4 linked regions of the Astyanax mexicanus genome follow. The protein of the gene in region 3 interacts with the protein of the main gene of each other region in a pairwise test. Links are inferred from orthologs where the notes say so. Each region holds a gene or a part of one and is shown on either strand. Other genes may lie near its edges.

Evidence for each region.
Region 1: the proteins of atf4a (region 3) and golga1 interact in binary tests that used the Homo sapiens proteins (3 or more experiments, as listed by UniProt). The two-hybrid records come from large-scale screens. The link is inferred for Astyanax mexicanus from reciprocal best matches to the Homo sapiens genes ATF4 and GOLGA1.
Region 2: the proteins of atf4a (region 3) and bfsp2 interact in binary tests that used the Homo sapiens proteins (3 or more experiments, as listed by UniProt). The link is inferred for Astyanax mexicanus from reciprocal best matches to the Homo sapiens genes ATF4 and BFSP2.
Region 4: the proteins of atf4a (region 3) and cebpg interact in binary tests that used the Homo sapiens proteins (3 or more experiments, as listed by UniProt). The link is inferred for Astyanax mexicanus from reciprocal best matches to the Homo sapiens genes ATF4 and CEBPG.

Annotation. Positions count from the first base shown.
Region 1 is NC_064419.1:30,653,573-30,661,564, forward strand, and holds the start of golga1 (golgin subfamily A member 1), read right to left. Parts: upstream 3,008-7,992; 5' UTR 2,891-3,007; coding exon 2,857-2,890; intron 1,090-2,856; exon of another isoform or gene 890-1,089; coding exon 759-889; intron 1-758. UniProt on the Homo sapiens protein: Involved in vesicular trafficking at the Golgi apparatus level. Involved in endosome-to-Golgi trafficking. Mechanistically, captures transport vesicles arriving from endosomes via the protein TBC1D23.
Region 2 is NC_064415.1:47,381,271-47,388,711, forward strand, and holds the start of bfsp2 (phakinin), read right to left. Parts: upstream 3,018-7,441; 5' UTR 2,793-3,017; coding exon 2,349-2,792; intron 1-2,348.
Region 3 is NC_064412.1:31,403,394-31,410,328, forward strand, and holds the start of atf4a (cyclic AMP-dependent transcription factor ATF-4), read left to right. Parts: upstream 1-3,912; 5' UTR 3,913-4,070; intron 4,071-5,205; 5' UTR 5,206-5,321; coding exon 5,322-5,622; intron 5,623-5,813; coding exon 5,814-6,709; 3' UTR 6,710-6,935. Other genes in the region: apolipoprotein L6-like, read left to right, coding at 1-704. UniProt on the Homo sapiens protein: Transcription factor that binds the cAMP response element (CRE) (consensus: 5'-GTGACGT[AC][AG]-3') and displays two biological functions, as regulator of metabolic and redox processes under normal cellular conditions, and as master transcription factor during integrated stress response (ISR).
Region 4 is NC_064430.1:12,451,217-12,458,808, forward strand, and holds the start of cebpg (CCAAT/enhancer-binding protein gamma), read left to right. Parts: upstream 1-4,584; 5' UTR 4,585-4,735; intron 4,736-7,592. UniProt on the Homo sapiens protein: Transcription factor that binds to the promoter and the enhancer regions of target genes. Binds to the enhancer element PRE-I (positive regulatory element-I) of the IL-4 gene. Binds to the promoter and the enhancer of the immunoglobulin heavy chain.

The sequences.
Region 1 (7,992 bases), on a different chromosome or scaffold from region 3:
CTCAAACACTAAGCCAAAATTAGCAACTCAATCAGCTTGTAACCAGAGAAAAAGCTATTTATGTCTTTCGTACATGAATTGTTAAAGGTAAAATTATCCAACTGCTTGTGATATTGATTTAGTGTCATATTGTCATACAGTGTCCAGCACTGTTTTACTGCATGGATTTATATGGGGGTTAACCACACATTATCTACATTTAAAGAATACAGTAAGAAAGATTTATTTTGTTGCCATCACACACAAATCAATGAGAATGAACCAAATGAACCAAACATTTAGCCAAAGATCAAAAACATGTTGGCTGCATTTGATTGCGTCATCAAAAACATAATTGTTGATTAGAAATGATTTTGTCTTTACACTTATTCAGCCAAAATGGAATCTGTATTTTTGCCAAATCATTTTAGTTGCTAAATATTTGGTGTATCCATACCGTTTGATATAATCTGCCAGTTTTATTTACATTATGTCAGAAAGTCCAAAACGACTTGTAATCTTTTTTAAATAGACTTAATTTTGAAGTTAAAAGGGTTTTTTTCTTTCTGCAGTACAGGCTATTTTGGAAGGTTTTTATGTGACAATATTGAAACTTTTTAAGTATTAGTTGTAAATTATTGAGTCTGTCTGAACTGATAACTCACAGTTCTAAAATTACTGTGCTTTTGCAGTTAAGGGACTAAAAGACATGGGAGAGGGAAGACTAAAAGACATGGGAGAGGGAAAGGAAGAAAGAGATAAAGAGGAGATTTACTCACAAAGTCATCCCCAGAGTCTGCTCCCACCGAGGTGATGGACTCTTTGCTCATGGATCGTGGCATGCGTCCAGTGCGAGGACCGGTAGCCGCCTCCTCTGCTATCTTCTTCTTTAGCTTCGCAAACATTACTGCTGTGTGCAAGTCCAAAAAAAAACAATCCTTCTGGGCTTCTCCCACAGATCAACGTTCTTTAAGGTGCTTCACATGCAGGATGCAGCTGTTTCATCGCTGTCTGTTGTCAGATTTTCTCTTCTGCAAGACACAATATATATAAACTTCATATGCACTGAATTTACAACTGTGCAATTGGATTTAGCATGTCCCATACAGCCTAGAAAACAGATTTTTGTCACATTAAACCAAGAAATCTAAATGTGAATGTAAGCTTTTACACTATATTGCCAAAAGTATTTGCTGACCTATTTAAATTACTGAACTCAAACCAATCACTTCCATGATCGCAGGTGTATAAAATCAAGCACCTAGGCAGGCAGACTACTTCTACAAACATTAGTGAAAAAATGGGTCACTCAGTGAACTCCAGCATAGTACTGTGTTAGGATGCAGCACCTAAGCAACAAGTCCGGTCATAAAAAAAATTCACAACTAAGTGTTCCACAGTGAAATTTAAGTAATATTACAACAAATGGGAAATGACTGAGAAAGCCAACATAAAATGACAGAGTGGAGTCAGCAGACACTGAGAAGCATAGTGTGTAGAGGTCACCAACTTTCTCCACCAGAGTCAATCACTACAGACCTCCAAAATCCATGTTGCCTTCCAATTTGCTTAAGAACAGTAGAGGATAGAGAGCCTAATAGAATTAGTTTCCATGGTCGCACTGCTCCATCAAAGCCTTGCATCAACAAATGCATTGCAGGTGAGCAAATAAATGTGGCAATATAGTGTGAATCAACATCACTTAATTTCGATTAGAGATGCAAGATGAAATTTTTAACTAATAATTACCTGAAAACATATAAAATAATAAAATTTAATTTGAAACAGAGCCACAAACCCAAAAAGGTATTAGTACAAAATAAAGGAAATAAAAACAATCTTTTTTCCTGAACTATCCTATCAAATTTATATTATCATTCCTAAATTCCTAAATTAAGAAACTAGGGGTGCATGATGATATCTGAATTATATTGTTATTGCCTGACATTACAAACTGATAATTGCTGATATTATAACTGTAGCAAGCAACGCTGGTAGTTATAAGTTATAAAGTTATACCAGGGTGTCTAGTCTCTCTGTAAGTTATATATCTGTACAATGACAAATCAGATATTTGCCCATATTTCCCACATCATTGCTTCCCTAAAAAAATTGAGAATTGATTTAATACTTGTTTTCCCAGTTTAACTAAAGCATTCCCTCTAAACTGAACTGAACGATTTGTTAAATTTATGCAAGTGTTTACATCTCTAAATATTACTTTTGACACCTTAGGGACTCTATAAGTGTCAAATTCTTTCTAACACTGTACATAACACTTCTAATATGCAGCAAAACTGACAATATTGCAGAAGAACACCTTTAATTTACAAATTGTTGATTACAGCTTATTCAGCAACTTGCCTTGCCAAATGTAAGGCTTAACAAAGGCCAACATAATGTTTACTTGACGTGACAGCAGGCAGGTCAGCTCAAATCTGACTCCAGTGATTTATAAATGAGACAGACTGAAGGCAGTTTGGCACTGAACTGATAAAAACAGCAGACAAACACAAACCTGACTGAGACTGACTGTGCTGTATTAACCCAACCTAGACATACTCAGAGAAACCAATAGCTCACAATGCTAGTTAGCTAAGTAGCTAACCTACCTGCTTATTGCTTTAACTATAGAACAGTCGTGATATACAGCTTAATTCATTTGTTAGGCGACAAAGAAGGCTTAAATAACTTTAAGAGAGATAAAATAAAAGGTTGTCAGGTTTATTAGAAGGATTATTAAGGTCGTCAGACCATCTCAGCTGCTCGGTTAAGCTAATGCTAGCTAGCTAAGCTAAAGCTAGGTTAGCGTCCTTATTGCTTTATTGGCTTCAGTTAGCATCTCCGTATCACACACACAGAGCCCAAACCCTTTACCTTTAACTCCATTCAACAGAAACACAACTAACATCCATAGTCCGTCAGTTAGAGGTTATTTTATCTCGTTCGGAGCCGCAGAGAAGCTCGAATTCTCATTTACTCGTCGCTGCTGTCTCGGCTGTATTTGCTAACCAACTTCACCACGTCACCACTTTCGGCGTGACGTGCCCAGGGCCACTGTCTGCTCTGATTGGTGAATATTAGAAAGAGGCGGGGCAAGAGAGTCGCCTCACTGCCTGCTGGGCACAGGACGCGCTGCTGTCGTACACTACTTAGTGCACACTTGTTATTTGTGCACTATTAGTCGTAGACTAGATTTCTAATTCCTAGATAAAAATGCCGTTTACTCCAAAAGTCAGCTTATTCCATGTGCAGTGGGTCACCATAGCTCATTCACCTTTATCCTCAGATCGTTTTGATAAGGTTTGTAATGTCTCGCAGAGTCAGCTCGTGCCCTTGTTCTTTAGTCATGCGCACTTGTTGCCTGCTGGCCACTGGTCTTGTTACAGTACACACTCTGCATAATTCATCCCGCTACACGCGTATTAAACATTTAAACGATACGGGACAGTTTAATGAGCATTGCATTGAGTGTGCCCTACATAGAAAGTCATTCAGTTCCACGTGTTTCACTGAGAAATTGAGAACTGAGAAAACGTTTCTGAGACGTTAGGCAGAAAACATTGACAACGGTGAAAACGCTCCCACTGCAATTATTTAAACAATATGATATATACTCCACAGAAAACATGGAGTCCCTCTATATACACATAATATGTTTGTAATGTATTGCTTTAATAAGTGTGATATAGATGACAGCTCATTTGAAATTGATCGTTTTTAAATGTATTTGATATATGTTTTTGTTAATATAACAGTTAACATTTTAACAGCCTCAAATTGTAATGCATTTCTAAATAGCTTTATGAGCTTTGCTATTTTGCCAACTACAATTCAAAATGCAGACTAAACAAACTCAATAAAACTCAATAATAAGACTAAACAACTATCCAATATTTAATGCCTACAACCTTTATTAATGAAAAGTAAACTTTACATCACCTACCAATTGGGGACAAGCCCTAACTAAGCCCTGTTATTAAAATTGCAAAAAAATACATACTGTTAACATAAGCCATTATCAAAATCAAATGATCTAAACAATCAGTTGTGTTTCATATATATGTAACACACATGTTTAACAGTATGTTATGAAACATTCCCTGATAGCAAAGAATAAAAGTTTACTGGTTGCATTATATGTATATTAAGGTTGATTATGGAACGATATCCTTAAATTAATCTTTATTTAACATTGCCTAATAGGTATCAGTTAATGTTAAAATTTTGACATTGATTTAGAAGGTTTTGAAAGGTTGGGCTAAGATCTTCTACACTCACCTTGCTTTTAGGTGAAAGGTGCTTCCTACCAATCACAGGGCATGCTATACAAATAGAAAATAAATATTGTATACATATTTAATGTAAGTAAAAAAACATAACTTTAAAAATAATGTTGAATCAATGTAAAATCGATGTGCAAAAAATAAATAAATTCTGTGGTCAGAGATCAACATTGTTTTAACGTATTAGCGATAGAAAAATGAACATTGAATTCCGATGTCCTTTTGCTATCTGGGTCACCACTATTACATAAAAAACATTGTACCTCCAAAATGTCAACTTACAGTACAAGACAAAATGTGTCTAATTTTCAGTGGAAGTCAATGTAATATTGGAGCATTTCTATTGGTCCTTTTACAACAAACAAGGGATATATATATTTTCCTACATATCTAAAGTATGCTATAATTAAAACATCTTATATGTTAATTTAAAATATTTATGTAAAATATAAATATACAAATATGTGTATTATATACATAATTATATATATTACATAATTATGTAATACTTACATATGTATACCAGATCTATGCACATATATTCAAAACAAGCTTGATGATATAAAGTGCATATTATTGTGTACACTGTATTATAGTATATACTGTATCAGATGTCTAAAAACACGAGCAGTAATATAGATCTGAGAAAGGCTTTAACATTCCCCACATGAACTTACATTTTCTATATAGTGTTCTGATCAGAGCAGTAATTAGTAACGAGAGCTCACAGTGCTCAAAATCAGTCCAGACAAATCTGGACAATCTGAGCTTACTCTCTATTATCAGATGCAAATCAGGTTTCTGCAGCCGTTCCTACAGTGAACACAATGAGTCAGAACAGCAGAGCTGAAAACACAGCGCACACCGAAATAGAAGATTATGATATTATACTGTATTTTGTAGAAAACAGATCAGGAAGCATCTCCTTTCAGGGCCATAGTTCTACCATAGATGTTGCATTTAGTGCAGCAAATCTGGTTTATAATTGTGAAATATCCTAAAACAACTTAAATTCTGTATTAATGCTGTTCTTATAATCATTTGGGACCATTAGATGGCAAGCCACGACTGTAAAACCAACCACCACCTTAGTGACATTTTCCTTTAGGCCACAAGTTAATATGATTGATTTGTAATTGCATAAATCAATCATAACATTAAACCACTGACAGGTAAAGTGAATAGCATTGATAAACTGGTTCCATATCAGCAGATCCAGACTATGGACTATGGATCTGCTGATGTCAGATATCAGCTACCAGGACCAGATACCACAGGACATCTTTCTAATTGGCTAACTTAGCTCTACATGACCAGCAAGCCCAAGCTGATGATCAGCATAACCAAGCCTTAGCAGATTCTAATCTAACATAAGAATGATTAATCAGTTATCATACCAGCAATATAGTGTGTTTTTACATGAATGATCAGCTTTTTAACCACCTTGACCATCAAAGATTTGGTTGCCACCAAAAAAAAAAGATCACACACTCTAATATTTTGTTGGACCGCCTTTAGCTTTTGTTGTGGCACACATTCATCATGGCATTGTTTTGATAAGCTTCTGCAATGTCACAAGATTAATTTCAATCCAGTGTTGCATTAATTTCTTGCATTAATGATGGTGGAGTCTGACCACTGCACAAAGCCTTCTCCAGCACATCCCAAAGATTCTCAATATGGTTAAGGTCTGGACTCTGTGATGAACAATCCAAGTGTAAAAAAATGATGATCTCATGCTCCCTGAACTCTGCACTATTTCACAATTCCAGCCCCATGAATCCTGACATTGTCATCTTGGAATATGCCCGTGCCATTAGGGAAGAAAAAATCCATTTATGGAGTGATCTGGTCTATATTCAGTATATTCAGGTAGTCATCTGTCCTCATTCCTTCAGCACATACTGTTGCTGAACCTACACCTGATCAAATTCAGCAACACCACATCATTTGTTTAGTTAAATCCAGGTGGAGACTTTTTTTTTTTTACCAGGCAGTGGAATAGACAGTGATATAAGCAAAAAAAAAACACTGGCCTAAGCGCTGCACTCTAAAGTAGATACTATGTCAACCACCAGATGGCGCCTGAAAACTGTACACTGAATACACAATGATTTAACCCAACAGCTGAGGTTATTGAGGCCTCAGGGTAAAAACCACAACCACCAACACAACCACTTAAAATAACATATTCAAACTCATATGTCCTTCTCATAAATCATCAACTTTAAACCACAGCCATAAAACCCCACAGCTGGGTTAGTTTAGAGCACAGAAATATGATTACCATGCATTTGTACATTTGAAGCTGCTGGAAGCTGGAAGAGAATGGGACAGCTTGCAGTAGGATATGTTCCTATAAAACCATTCCTTTGATATAACAATAATGGAAGGAACACTTTATTTAACTAAACAGAAATGTCCTAAAATAGAAACCTGCAAAATGTTTTACTCAGCTAGTGATTATACCGTTTGGCAAATAAGTGACATAAGCATATAAAAAGCATCAAATAGTCAATAAGTAAGTTTATCATTGCATTAGCCTGAAATGGAAATTTGCCTTTGGTTACAAAACAGCTCAGTTGGAGTTTGTCCAGTAAACACCATTCATAAGACACATAACACACGATGACATTTAAAATATTAAATTTTATTTGTTGTTAAAACTCAGTGTATATTAAAATAATTATTTGTATGCTATCATTTTGTAAGTAAGAATTAGGGTTGTAAATTTGTTTGACATTTTATTATGGCTATTAACTTGAGTTAATGGGAATAAAACGGAAATATTTGAAGATAAAGTGAGAAACTTACATATAATTGGTAAAAAATATACTGATACAAAATCTTGAGTTATTTTAATTGTTTTTTATATAAATGATGACTGTTTGATGAAAGAATAAAAAAAATGATTACCACTTATAAAGCATTCATAAAAAGCAGTTCTTTCTGCAACTTACTATGTCATAGTCTTTATTTCTATTGTGTTGCCTATATGTCTGCTGTTCACATACAAACATTGCATTGACAATATTGTATATTTTGTTCCTTTGAATTATCCAATATTTGATGTTAATTCCAATAAATTCCCATAAATCTACAGTTCTGAACAATTTTATGGAAAGTTTACAATTTGGAATAGTTCCAAACTTACAGAGCTAAAGATTTCATGGAAAGTTACTAGTAAATTACAGAAAAATGTATCTGAATTTTTCCACACCTTTGCAACCCTAGTAAGAACAGTGAATCCAACATATGCTATAAGTCATTCCATTGTATAGTCTGTTGTATATAGGTTGCATATAGGTTGTATAGTCTGTAAATTAGTTGTTTCTCATGTTTTTTTTTCCGTTTGTTTCTATAATATTTTGACTGGACACCATGAAAAATAGATGACTTTTTGTGTATAATAATAGATTTTTAAAGCTCTATTTCGAGTAAAAAATGGCGTTAGCCATAGCATGCTCTCTTTTTTGTCTTAAATAACCGATGATCTGTATAGCTAATGGGTATCTTAATAAAACCTTAACCCTAAATTAAATGAGACAAAAACATGCTTTTGATTTAGTCATACTTTAAAGATGTGAGCGTAAAATAATATTTAGATATTATTTAGTTAACCTAGCTAACACAGATATTTAACTATATTTAGGTTTGATACTTTAAACGCCTTTGAATACTAATATATCGCAAAAAAACTAAGAACAATTGTCTCATTTCTTGTTTA
Region 2 (7,441 bases), on a different chromosome or scaffold from region 3:
TCTTTAGTTAATGTAATGATGACAACATTTCAGTAATTTTTACTACAGTTACTACAGTTAAATTTACTGAATGTATTTAACTAAATGGGAAGACACACAATTACGCAGAAACTCCAAGTATTACACTGAATTATACATTACATTTTTGAGTAATTCTCAGAATTGATGTTTTCATGTAGAAATTACTTTAATTGTCCTTGTTGTATTTACAAAGTCAAAAAATCATTTTTTACAGTGCAGCGGTGCCCAAAAAAGAACGAAACTTAAGGAAAGGAAGTCCAGCACAGAAAACTTGACAAAGTTCACGGGCTCTCCGGGGCCCGGCGTCAGTGCTGTGGAACGAGTTGATCTCCGGGGCTGTTTACCCGGCGTCAGCGCTGTGGAACGAGCCGATCTCCAGGGCTGTTTGCCCGGCGTCAGCGCTGTGGTGGAACGTGGCGATGCCCAGAGGACATTTTCAGTAAAAAAATGATTAAAGGTTATTTGCCTAGTGATCTTTTGTGTCGTAGTTTCATTCTTGACGCAATCAAGTTGGATATTCTACACAGGTGATTCATTTAGAATCATAACTTATTTTGCTTTAATTTAATCTCCTGCTATTACCAAACACAATTCTGGTTGTGTTCACAGTGTGACAAAAAGCAAATCAATAATGTTGAGTATATGTGTGTATAAATGCTCTCAACTCACCCCCAAATTTGATATACAGTAACTGCTCAATCAAATGAATACACTCTAAAAAACAGAGGTACGATATGAGTACTTTTTTGTACTCAAAGGTACACTCTTCATAATTGTACCCTCAATGGTACCATATTGGTCTTTACAGGGTCAGATTTGTTCCCTCTGAAGAACAAAGTAATTTCTAACAGCAATAAGTACAAATTTGTACCATTTAACCAGACAAAAGGTACATTCAGTATTCTGTATCACTGTACTAATTAACAATAAATATTTTAATTGCACATTTTTCATTTGAAAGCCAGAAAAAATTGGATCATCAAATTTTTGAGCCATATTTAGTTGATGATAATGTTTATAATCTTTATAATCTTTACTGGCACAAAAACCATGGGTACAAAAAAGGACTTTCACTGAAAGGTACTTTTTTGTACCTCAATATAAGGTACAGCCCCAGCGACAAGCTTTGTACTCTTTTAAGTACAAATCCGTACTTACTTTTCTTAGTGTGTAGGGTAAACATGCGGTGAAGAACATTGGTATTTAAATTGTGTGAAACTGACACCAATAAATCCATAATTCTTGCTATGTACTTGTTTCTCAGTAGCATCGCTGTAAAGTGTGGAGAATAGTTTTGCATATATTGATTATCACTGAATGCAGTTTTGAGATATCACCGTTATCATTAATTTACCACAGCTGAAAGGTGCTGAAAAATTTTTTTAAATGGCTCTTGAAAGTGCTTGAATTTTACCTTGTAAAAGGTGTATGAACACTGAATATTGCATTTTGCTATAAAAAGAATCCATTTGATCAGCGCCCCCGGAAAAAAAACATTGCTTAGACCCCACAACTTCCAAATCCGCCCCAGGGACTTTGAGGTGATAAAGGTAATGTAAGTGAAGTTAGGATAACACAGGGGCTTTGAGGTGATGGAGGTAACATTAGTAACTTTGGGAAAACACAGGGTCTTTGAGGTGATGGAGTTAACGTTAGGATAACACAGGGACTTTGAGGTGATGAAGGTAACATTAGTAACTTTAGGATAACACAGGGGCTTTGAGGTGATAAAGGTAATGTTTGTAACGTTAGGATAACACAGCGGCTTAGAGGTGATAAAGATAATGTTAGCGAAGTTAGGATACAGCGGCTTAGAGGTGATAAAGGTAATGTTAGTGAAGTTAGGATAGCACAGGGACTTTGAGGTGATAAAGGTAATGTTAGTAACGTTAGGATAACACAGCGGCTCAGAGGTGATGGAGGTAACGTTAACTCTATTATAATTTTTTCAAACAGCCAAAAAGACCCTGTTTTAACTATTTATGTATGTATTAAAATGTATTGATTTTTAATTATCGTTCATTATAGTTTAAACAACCTCACGGGCCAAATGTTTCACGCCTGCCTATTGCCGACCCCTGAGGGAGTAGAAGTAAAACTTATATCAAAATTATTACTCCAGATAGAGTACCAACATTTTTACTTAAGTAAGGTAAGGAAGTATTTGTTCTTCAGTATCCGACACCTCTGTCGACAGTGCCTTGATCCACTGGACCACTCCGAGCCCCCCAATGTCTTTTAAAGCGCCTCGACTTTGACCTACATTCTCTCAGAAACAGGACTAAGCCCAGTTTCCTCCTGATGCCCAGCCCTGCCCACCTGCCCACCTGTCTGTAGACGTCCTCCCACTCGTGTCGCAGGGCTCCCCATGTCTCTGCGCTGGAGGCCTTGCGCTCAAGGTAGCTGCGGATCTGCTCCTCCAGCTGCTGGTTGAGCTCCTCCAGGGCCCGGACCTTGTCGCGGTACTCCAGCAGGCAGCAGTTGAGGCTGTCGAATCCCAGCTGCTGGTGGGCCCGGTCTCGGGGCTGGGGCAGCACAGGGGCACTGGTGGTGCTCCGCAGGCCCTGCAGAAAGACGCTGCTGATTCCCAGCGCCCTGCGGGACACGCGTGCACCCAGGTTAGTGGGCGTTTGGGTCACGGTGGGGGGTGCGGTGCCCACGAATACACCCCGAGGCGCCGCGGTGCCACCCGCGCTCACCCGCCCGACACCGCCCGGCCGCTCCGCGCTGGTCTGGCCCAGGATGGAGGATCGGCGTCTTGGCAGAGGCATGCCTGTCCCGGTTCTGGTGATCTGACGGGGTACTGCTACTCGCCCACAGACATCGCTGCACTGCAGCACTCTGACTCTCTCACTGCCTCCCAGCGAAACGGCACCGGCTGCCAGCGCGTGCCTCTTTATGGAGGCCTAGGCTTCTGGAAAGTGGCGGCTTTGTTCCACAGCTGTTGTTCCTCACCATTGTGGCTGGAAGCTGCTCATGCTGCTGCTGCTCTTTGTGCATTGAAGCTGCATTGGGCGCTTTTCGGCTGCCTCAGCAGTGTGGGCTTCTCAGGAAAGCTCCACAGAACCCCAAACCCGGTCCGCCACGCGCTCAGAACACGCCTGACCACAGGCACAAAGAGAATATGAGCCTGAAAACTGAAAATCATCACTTTTTCCAAAGGATATGAGGATTTAGAGGGCGGATTGTGTAACACTTTGTGTGATTTACACTCATACTCTATACTTAGAAAAATGGAAAGAACAAAAAAGATGCAGAGCTTTCAGACCTCAAATAATGCAAAGAAAACAAGTTCATATTCAGTTAAAACATTCAGTTTTAAGAGTTTAGAAATCGATATTTGGTGCAATAACCCTGGTTTATAATCACAGTTTTCATGTATCTTGGCATGTTCTCCTCCACCAGTCTTACACACTGCTTTTGGTTAACTTTATGCCACTCCTGGTGCAAACATTTAATAAAAATCGAAGAAACTCATAATAATGTTCTCATTTTTTTTCAGAGCTCTATAAGTAATAACATGATACACGTATTACAATATACATAAATAAATTATATTTTATTATTTAATATAAGACATTCACTCCCTGGCCCAAAAAAGGTCACATGTCCTAATATTTGGTTAGACCACCTTTAGCTTTGATTGAGGAACGCATTCACTGTGGCATTGTTTCACTAAGCATCTGGAATTTTACAATATTTATTTTAATCAATTAAAATTAAATCAAATTTATTTGTATAGCGCTTTTTACAACTGGAGTTGGCACAAAGCAGCTTTACAGAAACGTGACCACAGGACAAAGAATCAGGCAAAACAAACATATAAAATACAGAACCCCCAGTGAGCGCGGAGGCAAGGAAAAACTCTCAGAGCTGCAGGAGGAGGAAGAAACCTTGAGAGGACCAAGACTCACATTTAAGGGGGGAGCATCCTACCACTGGTCAAATGGCTTTTAAATTATTTTCAAAAAGTCTTTACATCCACATAGGTTTTATATATTCAGGAGTATAATAGCGCCACTAATGGCTAGGATGTAATCTGTAGTGGAGAGTAAGATGGATGATGAGCAGCTGATCTGTGGTGTATGATGGAGAAGAGCTGACTTCAGAAACTTCCATCAGTCTGGCGGGACATGAGAGCCTGAGACAGGTGGGCAGTCAGTAACTCGGAGGAAGGCAGAGAGATGGAATTAGTTTTAACTGGATTTATGTAAAACAGAGAATATAAAACATTATCAGAGTGTGGCTAATGACCAGTGTTGGGCACATTACTTTGAAAAAAGTAATTAGTTATAGTTACTCGTTACTTCTCCAAAAAAGTAAGTACTAACGGAGTTACTCCACTATAAAAGTAATTAGTTACCAGTAAAAGTAACTATAGCGTTACTTTTTATTATTCGCCTGTCAAAAAAAAGGAAATCAATTATGCATTTACTATTATTATTAGAAAAATAACAAACGAAAATAAACCCAAAATGTTGACAAAAATATAATCTAACGAATTCCAAAAAAATAAAACGAAATTCTCCACACAATCAAAGAAAATTACTAAAACTTGTAATACTGAAAAAAACGGAAAAAACGGAAAAACGCGTCTGGGGATGAAATTAAACAAACCAAGCCACACGCAAAGGAAATATGTATATATATAAAAAAACAAGATAATGGACAAAAAACAACAAACTAATGACCGTTAAAATGGTATTAATATAACAGCTTCACCAAAAGAGAATAGAGCTTAGATCCTGCCAAAAAAAATCCGACCCGACCCAGCCCTAGCCCGTGCACATTCTGCCCGAGCCCGACTCAATCCGAACCATGAACTGTCATTATGAGCCCGACCCGATCCGCCCCATAAACTGTCTGTTTTCGGGCTGATTGAATGAGCAAAATATGATCAGAATTATGTTAATTAACACTGTAACATAAAAGCATAGAACGATTATTTAATTTAAATGATTTTTAAGAACAGCTACAGTCAAACGCTGAGGCGTTCACGTGCGCCCAGAGCTACGTGATTACATTTTTCATTTTTATTATAGTTTAATTTGATTTTGTTTTTATTTTTTCTGTTCAGTAAGTTTTTAGGGTGGGCTTGCTAGTTTTTATTAGTTTTTACACATCTCATCAGAGAGATCAATCTAAGAAACGTGAGAGAGAGAGAGAGAGAGAGAGAGAGAGAGATTTGCTGTTCTGGTATAAGCTACAGGTAAATGTTCTCACACACTGTATCTCCTGTTTCTCTTTCATCTGCCTGGCGCTCATATTGTAATCCCATTCATAGTTCTGCAGTTTCTGAGTGTTTTTTGTCGTATTTTGCGGCTAGCGCGAGCGCTTTACACAAGAACTAACAGACCACGAGGTGCCGCTCGCTCGGCACAACACCTCCCGCTGTACAACTCCGTTGTACAACAGCGCTTATAAATAAATTAAACACGAAAATGAGGGTATTCTATCAGTAATTTCAGTTCGTTTTAGTTAGTTTTATAAACACAAAATACCGTTCGAGATAGTTATGTTTTTTCCTTTTAATTATCGTTTTTATTAGATTCAGTTAACACAAATGTTTTTTTCACTTTCAGTTTTCGCTATTTCGTTCGCTTTAGTGAACAATAATAATTGGTTACTTAGCAACATTGTGATTATCACACCAGAGGTTTATATAAAATAAAAATAGGAGCCCGATTTCGGGTCGGTCCTCAGATCGGGTTCGGGCAGAGAATCTAAGCTCTAAAAGAGAAAGCAGCAGCACCACAAAAACCGGAGCAGCTAAAAAAGCTTAACGTCCTTAATTCGGAACTTGGGCTGTCCACGCACGCAAATCGTCACAATTGTGCCTCACTTCACCACGCCAAACCACAGGCACAGCGGCCAGAAACTCAAGTTCACCGGAAAGAGGAGGGGTTAACCAGGGCAAAGCGAAGCTAAAAAAAAAAAGTTCATAGAGCAGCTAAAGTAACGTGCAGTAACGGGGTGTCGGAAATGGTAACGGCGTTATAGTTACAGCCATAGTAATTAGTTAGATTACTCGTTAAAGTACACTGTAAAAAGTGAAGCATGGAGCTGTTCATTCAAGCTAATAAATATGATTGAACACATAGTACAATTATTGACTTTATTGTGAAACTCAACCTTTTTGAATTTTGATGTGTCAATTTTGATTCAGACTAAATTAATTACAATTCTGAAGGAAATAAACCAAATGTTTTGGTTCCACTGAAATCATACTCGAAGAAAAGAGATAAGGATGTAATATTTTTAATTTGAATCGAACATGAATTGCGCATGCGCACTGTGGAGCACGGGAGAAGTTGTAGAGAAGTGCTTCAGAGCACTGAGGGAGAGAGGGAGAAAGTGCCTGAACGCGCTCGCGAGAGAGAGAATGAGAGAGGGAGAAAGTGCCTGAACGCGCTCGCGAGATAGCAACGCATGCTTATGGTATTGTGGCGTCGGGACTGGAGGGGGGGCGGAAGGAATTATGGGAGCTCACCCTGTTGGGGGAAGTGGGTGTTTTTCTGCGTGTTTATGTTACTGTTTATCCCAGAGTTTCATGTCATGTTTTATTATCACTGTTCTAGTATTATTCATGTAGTTATCAGTTATGTGGTTGTTTTGTGTAAGTGCCTCACCCTTTGTGTGTTTTCTGTGTGTGGGAGTGGGGTTAGCTGCGTTGGAGCTGTAGTTAGTTTCACTTTCAAAAGTGGAATCCCATGTAAATCCAGCTCTTAGTGTCCTCCTCAGAGCAAAATAAAAAGAGCAAGAGAGCACTGAAACGAATCTCGCTGGTAATCCGTCCTCTTCCACGCCACAGTAACTTCTGGAACTTCTGAATATGCTGCCATGTTTTTTTTTTAAGTTCGGTTCAATTTAAATGTATTAGTTTGGTTCCGAAACTGAAATGTAAAGAATTTAACTTGGATCAAGGTGAATAATTAATATTGGGTCGAGTGAAGTAATAGGGTTTATGTCAAAATAAAATAATCAGGTTGTAACAATTGACTTTATTTAGATTGAGTGAAGTCAAATAGTTTAGATGCAACAAATGGACATCAATTTTTTTAATTTGAGCAGGGCTACACTTTTTACAGTGTAAGGGCGTTAGTAACGCCGTTAGTTTTAACGCCGTTACTCCCAACACTGCTAATGACTCTGGCAGATCTAAATAAAACAGCCTAACTAAAGGGAGAGCCAGAAGGTAACATAGACACGGAGGCTCCCTGAAACTCTGGCATCCACCAGCACCAGCATCTCAGTTTACCAGAATTCCCTCTGTCCATGAACCCCTGGATCTGCAGCCTTGTCTAAAGGGAGAAACATTAATTACCAAAAGCTAAACTAAACAAGTAAGTTTTCAGTCTAGACTTAAAGATTGAGATTGTGTCTGAGTCCCGAACATATTCGGGGAGATTCAGGGCGTGTT
Region 3 (6,935 bases):
AAAAGGCAGTCCGCCTGTATGATTTTCTCCTGTCTGAGCGTGAAGATACTCTTCGTGGTCTCACAGATGAGCTGTCAGGAGTAGCTGATAACTTGAACAAGGTGTATAAAGGTGCAAGGATTGCTGGCATTACTGGTGGGGCAGCAGGGGCAGCTGGAGTGGCAGCTGCTGTAGGGGGCATATTACTTGCCCCACTGACTTTGGGTGCTTCATTAGCAGTGACCGCAGTTGGGGTTGGTGTGGCTGCTGCTGGAGGGGTCACAGGAGCCTCCGCCGCAATCACCAACAAGGTCAACAGCGACAATGACAGAAAGAAGGTGGAGAAAATCCTTCAAGACTTCACCACTGAGATAGAGGATATTGAGAACTGTGTGATGTTCATCAGGTCAGGGATCAAGTACCTAAACAGTCACAACCTGTCTGAGTTGCACGGGGTGGACCAAGAGGTGGTGAAGGTGGCAAAAGTGGCTGGTGTGGCTGGAAGAAATACTTTAGCCATCTGTGCTTTCAGCAAGGCCTCAGGTGTGATTCAGGGCTTTGCACTGGGCATGGACATCCACTTCACCACAAACGACAAGCAGAAGCTGAAGAAAGGGTCAGAAACCAAGTTTGCCAAGCAGATCCGTGAGGTGGCTGAGAAGATGAAAGCCAGCCTTGATGAGCTAATGAAAGTTAAAAATGATCTAAAATCTGCAGACTTGTAAAAAACAGGTTAGTTATGAACAGAAAAGCACGAAATGTGGGTTATCTGTGGATGAATACCCTAAAATCTAAGGTAATGTTTAGCCAGCATTAGTTCTCAAAAAATCAGTGACATTATGGGAGTGTTTCCCATTCCTTTTCTGGTGAGGCTTTACTGTAAATCTTACACTACTTACAATTTTCTTTTCAATTTAGTCGTTTCACCTCATCACACCTACCCTTCACACAATGGAAGTATCATTGAATGTCATTTGAAAGTTGAACACACTTGGAGGACAACCCTCTAGTCTACCTGAAGACATTTACATCAATTATGTTCACTCTCAGCCATAGGTAGATCTTGGGTTGCAATCAGTCATGAAAGCCTTATCCTACGGTCAGGTTGTGTTGATGGATAAACCTAAAGGTAAGCTCCACTTCTCCAGAGATCACAGTTCCATCATTATATAGTAGAATAATAGAGGAGTTTCCTTGAACCGCTCTTGCCAGCTATTGCATGGTGATATAAGGATTGTGTGTGAATGCTTCAGAGTGTCCCATTCTATTGTCACTGCTTTTCAATGGAAATCTTTCAAGTTGGATGCAATATTTGCATATCTGGATACTTTGACATTAAGCTTTTAATGTTAACTGGAACACTTTTTTGGAAAATCAAAATAGCGAAGCTTTCTAAACCTTTTATGTAATCAAATAAAAAAACGTTTATCAAAACACTATTGATTGTATTAGATATTTTGCAATATAATAAATACATTTAAATGAGGAAACTGTAGTCTTTTATTTGATATTTAATGTGTTGTGAGAATTAGACCCACACAGCAGAAAGGCAAGTGTTGAATTAACTCTCCAGTTTTTCTGGGCACACAGGAAAATTCCTCCTTTTTCAGAAGATCTTTGTTCAGCTCCTTTTTTTGGAATAGAGGGAGAAAACATCCTGTCCAGGTAACAATAAAGAAGCTGACTACAATGCCTTTTTTGTTTTTCCAGTATTTATCATTAATTACAACTTGAAACAATGTTATTTCTTATTACACTTACATTAAGTAAAGTGTCAGAACACCATAATCAAACACTGTACAAAATATATATTTTTTAACATTTAGTCTGAAGCAACACATTAATACACATAAAGAGGAATCTTATCCTTAACTTTAAAGAAAATTTGGTACATTTTATGTTAAGTACTTATTGCAATTGCATATTTAGCAATTAATTATATTATTTCACTTAATATTTCTTGCACTGTCTCCATATTTAGTTGAGATGAGGCTTAAGCTGTTCACCTTTTTATGGTAAAATATTAAGCCATTTTTAGAAAGTTATGAGATGCCAAAAGACAGTATTCTGATAATTATCCAGTTGGTTATGCCACTTTTTGCAAGAATGCAGGGAAGAGGTCAACATCAATGTGAAGTGATTTTTCTTGATTGACCAACATTTCTGAACCTGATTTTGTTGGCCTATTATAGAACTCACCTTGCCCAAAACATCATATTATGGGGTCAACCGTATCTATAGTGTGCATAGTATAGTATAGTATAGTGTAAAACCCAATAAGGCTATTTTATCTAAAATTGGTGAAACTGATTGATAAAAGTATAAGTAAGAGTAACTCAATTTTCAAGTTAAACTAATATTCTATATTAAATAGGTTTTAATAAGTAAGTTTAGGTTACACTAGCTTACGTTTTGTGAACAAAATAGATTTGTATTTCATTGTTTTTAATTGATCTAAGAAAAATCTGCATTTGAAAGACGACATAAAAACCAATAGAAGGAACACTCTAGCACACAGCATTAGCACCTTACCCTTACACCCTACAACAAAAGTTGATTTAACTATGTTTGAATACACAGAACCAGTCTAAATTATTCATATTAAAAGCATAAAAAATTAGGGGACTCATAAGGACCTGACCTGACCCTGACCTAAACCCAACTGAGATGGGTGATTTGGGATGAGCTGGAGCAGAGCGTGAAGGAAAAGCAGCAACTATTGTTTAGCACCTTCAGAAACTCCTTCAAGACACTGAAGGCTCTAAATCATGAAAATGCAAAGAGTGTGCAGAGCTGTCCTCAAAGCTAAATGTGGCTACTTATAGGACTCTAAAGAATAAAACATGTGTTGGTTTGTTTTTCACCTTTTTTTACAGTATAATTTGTATGTGGTCCTGGACAGCTTCAATATTAAAATTACAATGTAAAAAATCTAAAGAAAAAAAGAAAACGCATTGAATGAGAAGAGCTGTGCCCAAACTTTTGTGTCCACAAATGTTCACCTAACTCAAAATAGTTGAGTAGGCCTAATGTTTGAAAATAACCAATTTTAGACTTAATTTATTTGAGTTCAAATTAATTGTGGGTTTACAGTGTAGTTTATATGTGTATAATGATTACATGACAATAAAGCTTAATACAATAGTCAGAATTACTTTATTGTTATGCCAGGGAAAAAGGCCTAGAGGGCAGCCTTGTACCATTTCCTATTGTTGTCTGTGAGCCACTGAGGCCACGAGGCCATTAACAAAATAAATAGGACTCTTTGGGAGGAAATGTGTTTCCATTTTCTCATTTTAATGTAAAGAGTTAATTTAATAAACCGTAGCTATATAAAATCATGTGTAAGATATTAGTAATATCACTGTTTCAGTACTGATTTATTGATGTGTTGAGAATAGTTAGTTCGTAGTCTCGTGATATATACAGACGCTGCATTTACGTCATCTGTTACTGTGTGGTGTTTAAAGTGTAGTTTAGGATTTTGGGAAAGGGGTAAATTCAGAGATATTCTTATAAAAACTATATTATTTGTTTTTACAGGAGCAGGTCTTTAATGTAATTTACGTCTATTATGTTGTATTATCTCAAATAAATACTCAGTTCAAGTAAAAGTGTTTTAATTAACATGGTCAACAAAAGTCACTTTTTGTTAGAAAACCTTATGGTAATATCAGTTGTGTTGACGCTATAATATAATTTAATAGTAAAGTGTCGGAAATGAAAAAGTTGTGGTGTATTTATTATGTCGTCGCATATTCCTCCCCACAGCTCTGTTTAGGAACTATGTTTTTCCCCACGCGTCACACAACCTGGCGATCAGCTCCACCAATCAGAAAGAGATGCAGCCCGCGGAGTGATACCAGAATGTTTCGGAGGCGGAAGGTCATATGTGGGTGTTGTATGTGAGTATATAAGGTCATGTGACGCCCTACCGACGTTTTCGTTCTCTTTCCCTTCTGTAATACAACGCGTTGAGCTGAGAGCTCCCTGCTCAAAATGGCAGTGTAGCGGCTTGCAGCGGCAAAACTCGCAGCGGCGGATCCTGCAGTGCAACGGCGAATTGCACTGATTCTATTAGGCAAAATGGCGTAAGTATAATTTTGTATTTTTTAGTGATTTGAGGTGAGAGGACCGGATGACTGAAGTAGGCCGGCTAGCTTATGTCGTCGTTACCGGCAGGGGAGGAGTTGTCTTTGTTGGTGGGAGGTATAATGTTAAATGTGTCAGCTACCTAATAAAGTTATACATACAAAAATACCTACAATCGAGATTTAATTAATGTCAGGGTTGTACATTTATTAACCTGCAATGAGTCTGAACTTTACTTGGCCTTATTTACCGCCCCCGCCATTTGATACAGTTCCCGCCCTCAATATTTATTGTTAATTTTTTTAGCTGACGAACTGTAATTGTGCTTATAAAATGTACTGGGTTATTACTGTGGTATTATGTTGTTTGTGAGGGAGGTCGTGTTTAAAATGGACCAATAAAAACAAAAACACAGCTGTCCGCCTTTGACCAGACAACGTGGCACTATTCAAAATGGCGCACCAGCTTCCCTCCCTCGTGCTGGCTGTGTTGTGAAAATGGCGCGATCGCCAAGGGCACAGCCGCCATGAGGGAGGGGCATAAGGCGGGGCTTGGTGCACCGTGACCATATTAAGGAAACTTGTGACGTGTGGGCGGAGCGTTTTTGGCAGGCCTTGTGGTTGACGGGAAAGAAGAAAGACTGATTTAAATTGTCTTGGAGCAGAGTTTTCCTGTTGAAACATGAAACTGTTAAATGTTTGGAATTTACTTTGTGGGGAGGTGGTGTTTTTGTGTAGGTGGTAGGGAAGTATTTGAGTAATATTTGGCTTCTTTTCCTAATTCTATACTCATTCCATAAAAACGGGTCAGCATGAATTCAGTTTTGGACCAGTTTCAACAAAAAGTAGTGCTAATACATGATTGACTGGTTTTTATATATAGTTTAATTACAGTGCCTTGGGCGGTGTTGTGGTGACTGACTAAACGTGTTTGACCTGTATTGGGACATTTTCTTACGTGTTCACAAGAGAGCTTCATAATTACAGTGGGAACCACATAATGAGGTAGCTTGTATAAACCTGTTGTAGTTTTTTGTTTAAGTCATGTCTGAGATAGAGGTTTTACAAGAAGATTAAATGTTTACATGGTAACCTTTTTCTTTTTTTGTTTTCTGTTTTTGCCTTTTTTTTTTAGGTCCTTTGAGGCAACCACCCTCAGCTTTGCTGCCGTCGACAGCATACCAACTTTGCTCGACTCATCATCAGAACTCCTGTTCTCGTTGACTCTGTCACGACCCCTGACCAGCCACCATGTCTCTGACCTCACAGATGTGCATGGAGGACGTGGGGGCCCTGCTCTTGGGGCCCTCGACTCTGATGGCTGACCCCTTCGGGCCCCTTCTGGACGAAGATGAAGAGAGAGCTCTTTCTGAGGGGTCGTCTTCGCCCCTCTCCTTCTCTTCATACTCTGAATCTTACACCTCCTCCCCGTTCTCCCCCTTTTCGGCCCCTGCTCCTCTAGGGTGTAAAGTTGGGTCTGACCTGCTGCCGCTCCCCTGGCTGTCTGCTGGTGAGCAGATTGATGCTCATGTAAGAGCAGATCAGAAAGAAGGTAAGACTGGTTGAGCAACTTAAGCATGACACCTACATTTATGACCCATTCGTGTGAAGTGTGAAAACAGTGGTCACAAATTAAACAAGTGCATATATAAATTATATAAGTGAGAAATGGAAAAATCAGAATGCCAGAATTGCCATATGTTGTCACTAGCAGAGAATAACCCAAAAGCTTTTCTGTTGCAGGGGATGCGTTTTCTGGCATGGACTGGATGACAGAGAAGATCGACCTAAGTGACTTCGACCTGGATTCGCTCATCGGGTCCTGTGATTTAGATGAGCCCCCCAGCTCACCAGAAGAGCTGCTGGCATCCTTGGAGTCCCAAATGGATCTGGACCTGGCTCCCCTACCATTTCCCTCATCTTCACCCTCTGACCCAGAAGAGCTTGGCCTGCCTCCTCTTTCCCTTGACCTCCCACTTCCAGAGCAACCGGCAGACCCTGAGGTCCGTCCGGAGCCCATTCCCATTGAGATAAAATCAGAGCCATTGTCTCCTGCCTTCACCCTGGAACTGGGCAGTGAGGTGGACATCTCAGAGCTGGAGAAGGTGGTTTCCAAAACCAGTAGTGACCAACAGACCCCCAGCATTGTGCTGTCCCTCTCACCTGCTCACATTGTGGTTGTTCTTGCGCCCAAAGAAGAGGTGAGTGTCATGCCCAGTTCCTGTGCAGACCAGTCTGACAGTGGCATTGAATCAGTCTCTGGTTCTCCCCCTCACAACCCGAGTCCTGCACCATCCCCCAAGCCTGTTGGCACTTCCAGAACCAAGCCATACTCCAAGCCAGACCCAGAGGCAGGTGTCACAGTTGTTGGTAAAGTGAAGACAGTCACTGGGAAGTCTGTGGACAAGAAGCTGAAGAAGATGGAGCAGAATAAGACAGCAGCGACCCGCTACCGGCAGAAGAAGCGGGTAGAGCAGGAGTCCCTGAATGAAGAGTGTACTGAGTTGGAGAAGAGGAATCGTGAGCTGTCGGAAAAGGCTGACTCGATAAGTAGGGAGATCCAGTACCTAAAGGATCTTATTGAAGAGGTCCGTTCTGCCAAGAACCGCAAGAACAAGACCAAGGCTGACTCTCCCTGAGATGTAGGCCAAGATACTTTAATTAAAGATCAGCTCCATCAAAAAGTATAAAGTGTACTGAAAGTATCTTTAGTTTCTCACCCCCTCACAATTCACACACCCTCAATATTCACTGTATGTAGTTTTAACAGAATCAACTATTTTGTGTAATGTGAGCCATACAAAACTAAAATGGGCACATAGACGCACACAGAAACCTGAACAGTGGAAGGTTGTTGTCCTCCCC
Region 4 (7,592 bases), on a different chromosome or scaffold from region 3:
ACAATGCAGCACATAAACATTTATCAGTGTAAAACTTAAGTACTACTTCATTACTATACATCTCTGATGACTACGTTTTACATTCTTAATATTCACATACATTGGATATTAAACTGTTGTGGTCACAGTCAATAGGAGCTGAGTTCCTAACAATTACGTTAAAATATTAGACATTCTACTAAACAAGTTCTGTTTTTGCCCTTTCTAAAACACGGATACAGCCTCATATTCACGTTACCAGAAAGTGTTTCTAATCAGATTTTTTTTGCCTTAATGTGTATTAGGGTTGAGTGGACATTTCAAAGCCATCCAGACTTTTTCAAATAAGATTTGAATAAGTAACTTTTATATGTGGTCCAATATTGCATATCTATTCTATCTGTATTGTATCTGATTTATTTACTTTGCACACATTACAGGACCCATTAATCAATTCAGATTTTTCGCTCATATTAAAATGGTGATCTTGATGATTCACATTCATTAATGACCCTGACAGAATCTGACTACCTGACAGAATCTGACTCTGTGGCTGTTGTGAAGGAAAGTTTAATTATAATAGTTATTCATAAACAGAAACAACAGGAATCATAAGCATAATCTGTTGTGCCCATACTGCTTACTGACATGCATGCACAAAAAGTTCAGCACAACACTGGTGCTGGCTAATTATGATTAAAGCAGGGGCTTTAAAAAAAAGATGCATTAAATCTGATCTGGGCGTTCACATTTATGTTGTTTCCTCACAAATTTAATATGTATCTGAACACACGTGAAAAGTAGTCAAATCTGATTGTCATATTCACACCGCCCTAAAAAATCAAATCTGTGTCAGTTTGATTTGACACAAAACCTGATTTGAATCACTTCATCCTGGTAATGTCAAAATAGCTTTTTATTTGTGATCCTAGATCAGATTTCTTTTCTGATTTGGTGACATGCGAGATGATTGTGATGGTTATATTAGATTCCATGCACTGAATACACACACAGAATAGCAAAATCACGGTAGGGGTTAGTGTATTATTATATGAATATAATATAATATAATTGTACAACCCAATAGCACTTAGAGAACTCTTACTAAGGTCTCATAACTTAATTATCTAGGACTAAATATCTTCAACTATCAACAGCTACAAGACAATCAAAGCAAAGTGTTTTAAGGAAAGTATTTCCTAATTCATAAAAATAATTAAAGTAGTCAAGTTGAGAACTGCTTATTGGATTTCTGGAAAGCCTATTTCAACTCGTTTTTAAGACCTTAAAATTTCTGAAATATTTAGCATACTCTAAAGTAGTGGTGCGCCGTTCTACTGTGCAGTGACACCTACAAATATATGGAAGATGGAAGAAAAACTTTCCTTGCCACAAACATCAGATTCAGAAGTCTTTAAAAGAACACTTAAACAAGCCTGATGCATGAAAACATGCCCAGTGTACAGATGTAGCAATTTACTGTAATAGATATCTTGGCCAGGGGTGCCTTAACCTTGGCATACAACTGTAATTCACTGCACAGTGAATGACCAAATCTGTCCAGGCTTAACTACACTTACAAAACCCCAATGGTTCAGGGTAGTCCAACTACAGCTTTCTAAACTGCTGATAATGTGACATCATTAGACAGCTAAACACATTTGGATATTTGCAATTTGACCTAATTTTCTCCCCAAATTGTAAGGGCAATTACCCAGTCCCCATTTATTTGAACTCCCTCTATCACTACAAATGCCCCTCAACACTAAAAGGGTAAAGACTTACATATGTCTCCTCTGATACGTGTGTTATGGGTCAGAACCTGCCTCTTATCAAAATACCTCTGATGCAGCATCACTGGGGATGCACTCAACTGCACTCAGAGGAATGTGCAGCACCCGAGCTTCGACACATCAGCTAACAGATGCCTGTGCTGACCAACAACACATTAGGAACGATCTGGGAGAAAGGGCGACATCTACCCACACAGAGAGAGCAAGGTCAGTTGTGCTCTCTCAGACTCCGTCTGCTGATGGCAAGCACTATGATCCAATATTGGAACCAATGATCCTCAGGTCACACTGTCTGCTGGTCTCCCAATTCTCTAATATCTGCTAACAGATGCTTGCACTGTATAGTATTGTGCTAAATGATGGGGCAGAGCCAAATAACAAGACCAAAACTGCTAATATCATTCAAAAATAAAAGGAACTGATCTATTCTCTATGTTATAACAGTGTAGTATAACTTAAAAAAGGGATGCCGGATGGGGCTGTACTATTAACTAAAGCATTAAATTTTAAAATAATGTTATTTGTGTTGAACCAACCCATGCAAGTTACTGATACACATTTGCATAAATATGCTCTCATTAATAATATTTCCTATAATAATTACCCATCCAGCCCCACAGCTGTGCTGAAATTGGTGACTCTAAGTCAGAGTTGGCCCAGTAATGCATACTGGCTGGATATCTGATTACACTAGAGAATGTGTGTTTCCATCCGAATGGGTTTCTAATGGCAATAGGGAAATTCAGAATGTATTGGGGACAAAGTAAAGCATTTCCAAGAGTTATAGAGACATGCCCCCACCATCCCTGATTATTTTTTGCTAATTTTACCAAACTACACACTAGTCTAACCTCATGTCACCACTGTAAACAATAACAAAGGTAAATAATTCTTGATAAAATACAATGCGTTTTAGATTTATATTTTTTAATTTACAGCATTAACAAAGCTCATTATGTCTGTCTAGCATGGCAACGTTTCAGTAGACAGACAAAAATATTTTCTTTTTTTTTTGTTTTAACAGGATAAGCCCACCATTAGAATTTAAAATGAATTATATGGATGAATATAGTAGCAAGCAAGCCAGTTGGTTAGTGAGCAGCCTTTTCCAAAAATATATCACACCCTTATTGGTGGGCCAACCTTAGGTTTCAGAGCTGGTACTCTGTTAAAAGTAGAACTTCTTTGAGGAGGTTCTTCAGTTTAAAGCAGTAGAGGAACCCATTAAGGTGCTTTAATAAAGAGTTTTCTTCTAGAAACCTGCTTTTTTTTAGTCTGTGTTGTGCTGGTACATTTTGATCCAACATAGCTTACCAGCATAACAGCCTGTCTACTGGAATTTTGCTAAAGTATGCTATTTGTTGCAAATTTAACCACTGATTTAAGTGCTAGTGATGTCTGTCTATTCTCATATATTCTGGTTGCCAATCCATTAAGCAACTCCTTAAAATACTAAAGTCCTGTAGAGTGGTTCTGAACCCTAATGCTGGACTACAATGCAATATTGGTATTTTCCTACACCCCTACAGGTCAGTGATACTTCAGGAGCAGAAATAAAAATATTATATAGTGCTGTAAGGAACTTTACACAGCTTTTGAAGGGCCTGTGACACATACATCACGATAGCCTCTTTTGGATTAAGAACAAATGTGATTATTTACAATTAATCACAGAATAGTTTTTAGTCAATTAACATCACTAGAAAAAATCTATAAAAATTACATAAACATAATAGAAAAACAAAAAATAGAAACATATTGCTGGAGTAATGCCAAAGGCAATTTGGCAAAATAAACATAATAAGTCACCATCTGTCACCATCGCAGACAACAGGGAAACAGCTTAAAAATATTTTTATATATACATTTTTTATGGAGCCTCTATGGAGCCTTAAAAATATATATTAATTTGTGGCCATTGCTTATTAAGGCATGTGAACAAGATCCTAATGCATGGGAAAGACTTATTAAGGTGTCAGAACAAAATACAGTGCTGGAAAAAAAATAAGAGACCACTTAAAAATGATAAGTTTCTTTGATTTTACCAATTTGAAAACCTCTGGAATATAATCAAGAGGAAGCTGGATTATCACAAGCCATCAAACCAAGCTGAACTGCTTGAATTTCTTCACCCGGAGTGGACTAAAGTTATCCAAAAGCAGTGTGTAAGACTGGTGGAGGAGAACATGCCAAGATGCATGAAAACTGTGATTAAAAAACAGGGTTATTCCACCAAATATTGATTTCTGAACTCTTAAAACTTTATGAATATGAACTTGTTTTCTTTGCATTATTTTAGGTCTAAAAGCTCTGCATCATTTTTGTTATTTCAGCCAGTTCTCATTTTCTGCAAATAAATGCTCTAAAAGATTTTTTTTTGTCCGTAGTTTGTAAAATAAAAAAACAACGTTCATTTTATTCAAACATATACCTATAAATAGCAAAATCAGAGAAACTGATTCAGAAACTGAAGTGGTCTCTTCATTTTTTTCCAGAGCTGTAATTGAGTCATGGCCGTATAAGTTGTCCTTTTCTTTTCTTTTCTTTTGTCTTGTGGGCTTTCTTGTTATGCTCAGGTGGGTCGTGAGGTGGAAAAGGTTGAGAACCTTTACTCTACACAGTTCACTAACAGCACCGCTCCAGCTGAGCATAATTCACTCTCTATGATCTCATGACTCTCTTGTTACATAAACACGCCCTGAACTGTGTCTCACCGTCTGATTGGTTCAGCGGGCTGTCGGTCAAAGGCTGCATTTCGTCATCCTGCCCGGCGCTGAGCGCTGATTGGCTGAGCGGGCAGACTTCCCTACATGGTAAAAACGATTTCGCAATCCTGCCAGGCACGGCTCAGTGTACCAAACAATAACAGCTCCGCTGATGTCTCTGTCCCGTCAACTAGAGCGGCTACGAATTTACTCACGGTTTTAGTGGATGACTGAACCCAGGATCTGAACCTCGATCAGGTAAGACGGGTAGAAGTGTGTCTGAGGGGAGAAAGAGGAGAAAACCGGAGTGGAATTTTAAGTACAGAGATTCCTTGTAGTCCTATACTCGGTTAGCTAGCTGGCTAACTTGTGTAGCTAGCTGCTTGTTGCTAACCGGACCGCAGAACAGGTTTCATTACTGCTGCTTTACAGCAACACAACTTCTGTAGTTACAACGTTAGCTTAGCTAATATTATATCCTATACTTAACCTCTTTAATGACACTTACTCTAAGATTGGGGACTGTTGTAGGACACTAACTAGCTAGCTAAAAAACACGAGTTAGTTATTAGCTGGCTAAACTAAAGCTAGTTAGCAGCTAGCAGGGCTGTGTCTTTTGACGTAACTAAGCTACTGTATGTAGCTAGCTAGCCGTACTTATTGTTAGGAATGTGGCTAGTCTGCTAGCGGCTAACTGGAATGTAACATAGCTAGCTAACGCTAACTAAGCTAACCAAGTTCATTCCTGTGTTCTGCCGAGTTTTGCTCCAATGTCAAACTCTGCTACTCTAGTGTAGGTTCTATTGAAATGTAAAATAAATGACGTTAAATAAGTTAAATACAAAATAACTATCATAATACGTTTGTGTAGAACATTTGGATAGCCTAAATTAGTGTGTCTGAGTTAATAAAGTAAAGTTCATAATAATAAAAATAATAATACTAAATAATAGAGGTTACAAGAGTTTTTTTTCCTTTTTGTTTTTATATGAACTGCCTGTTATACGTTTATAACATTCTAAAAATCCAAGAAAAATAACAATAAACTAAGGTTGTGTAGGTTAATACACCCGAGTAAAACAGAATTATATATTTTTAATAATTATAAAAATGTAAGGGCAAAGGGTCAGCGCATGCGCAGTGCTGAAGGAAGTGCATATCGATGGGTTGCAGAACTAGACAGAACACCCCTTAACTTGTAAGCAGACAGATATAACTGTTAGACACTGATGTAAACTGTAGTTAGCTAGGTTAGGTAACACGTCAAATTAGTCATTAGTCACAATGTATTATTTACTTATAGCCTAGCTAAAGCTAACTAACGTTCTGCTAAGTATGTTAAGAACACAGTCTCTCTCTCTAATGCTTCATAGCTAATAGTAGGCTAACAAAGTGGCTAGCTAACGCAGCTAGCTAGCGGTATTCCCCGTAATTCCTGTGAAGTTACGTAGCTGTTAGCTTGCTGTGGCTGAGCTCTAATAGTGTATGACTAACATCAGCTCAGCTCAGCCTGATAACGCGCTTTATCGGTGCTTTATCAGCACAGCGGGCAGACTCCTTTAAACCCCGCAGTCCTTTAAACCCCGCAGAACCGAATCTCACACTCTGTAATATTGTTTTTGACCCGCCTGCAGAAAGTTCGCCGCTTCGCTGCTGTTTGTTACTAATTTTAAGCCACGCGCTGTGAGTGAGTGTGAGTGTGTGTGCGCGCGCGAGCGGAGTTTCCCTGAGCGCCGCGCGGGAGGGAGCGCGAGCGATGATGCAACCGCGAGCAACGTCTCGAGCGCGAGACAAGAGATACCTAGCAACATATGCGCGTTGCCTGGCAACATGGCAGTGATTGGTGGGCGCAGGTGGATGTGTGGTGTTTTTAAAAAGATGGGGGTTTTAAGCGCTTTAAGGAGTTGCAGTTGCTGTGCACTGAGGAGGAGCATCAGTTTTTATACTGTTTTTTCCCAGCAGATTCTTAAAAAAAAAAAAGACTAAAAATACTTTTACATAATTTGTCTTAAAATGTTTTAATCATCTATGGGAAAGTGTTGGTTATTACACCTTCCCATACCTTATTTATTTATCTACCTACCTAGTTATCGTAAATATAATGGTACATGGCATATCTACAGCTCTGGGGGGAAAAAAGACACCACTTGATGAGTTTCTTTGATTTTACCAAATTGAAAACCTCTGGAATAAAATCATGAGGAAGATAAATGGTCACAGATAAAAGCCATCAAACCAAGCTAAACTGCTTGAATTTTTGCTCTGGGAGTGGCATAAGGTTATCCAAAAGCAGTGTGAAAGACTAGTGGAGGAGAACATGCCAAGATGCATGAAAACTGGGTTATTCAACCAAATATTAATTTCTGAACTTTCTGAATATGAACTGGTTTTCTTTGCAATATTTGAGGTCTGAAAGCTCTGCATCTTTTTAGTTATTTTAACGATTTTGCATTTTCTTCAAATAAATGTGTTGTCCTTGAATAAAACAACAATGTTCATTTCACTCAAATATATATCTATAAATAGCAAAATCAGAGAAACTGATTCAGAAAATTAAGTGGTCTCTTAATTTTTTTAGAGTTGTATATACCACCTAAAAATGAACAACAGAAGGAGAGTAGCATCACTGTTTTTTCTGTTGTAATTTGAATCTTAATGAAAAAAAAAAACAGTCTATCCATTATGTATTGTAAACCTCAAAACTATGAGTCCCCTTAAATAGACTAATATTCTTATATTATGAATTTAATGCACATGCCAAAAAATGTGTGCTGTCTCTCATTTTTTATATCCAGTAAAAGCGTCAGAAAACTGATCTCCTTTGCAAGATGTACATGTGTGGCCTCCTTTATTAAATGTGGTTGTGATTTCTGCCAGAGTCACTTGTCTGTTTGCGTAGACAATTCAAGCCAGACACCTCCTCTAACAATCCTTACCGCTTTCTTACCACTGCACTATTCACTGTTAGCCCTTTAACTGGTTTTATTCAGACTTTATTCAGACTAACCATGGTACCTTTTTAGAGAACCAGCCCAGGATTGCACCAGTTTTAGTGTTTCCAGCCAGGAACAAACCTTTCTGATCTCTAGAACCTATTTTTTGTTGGTGGAAATGC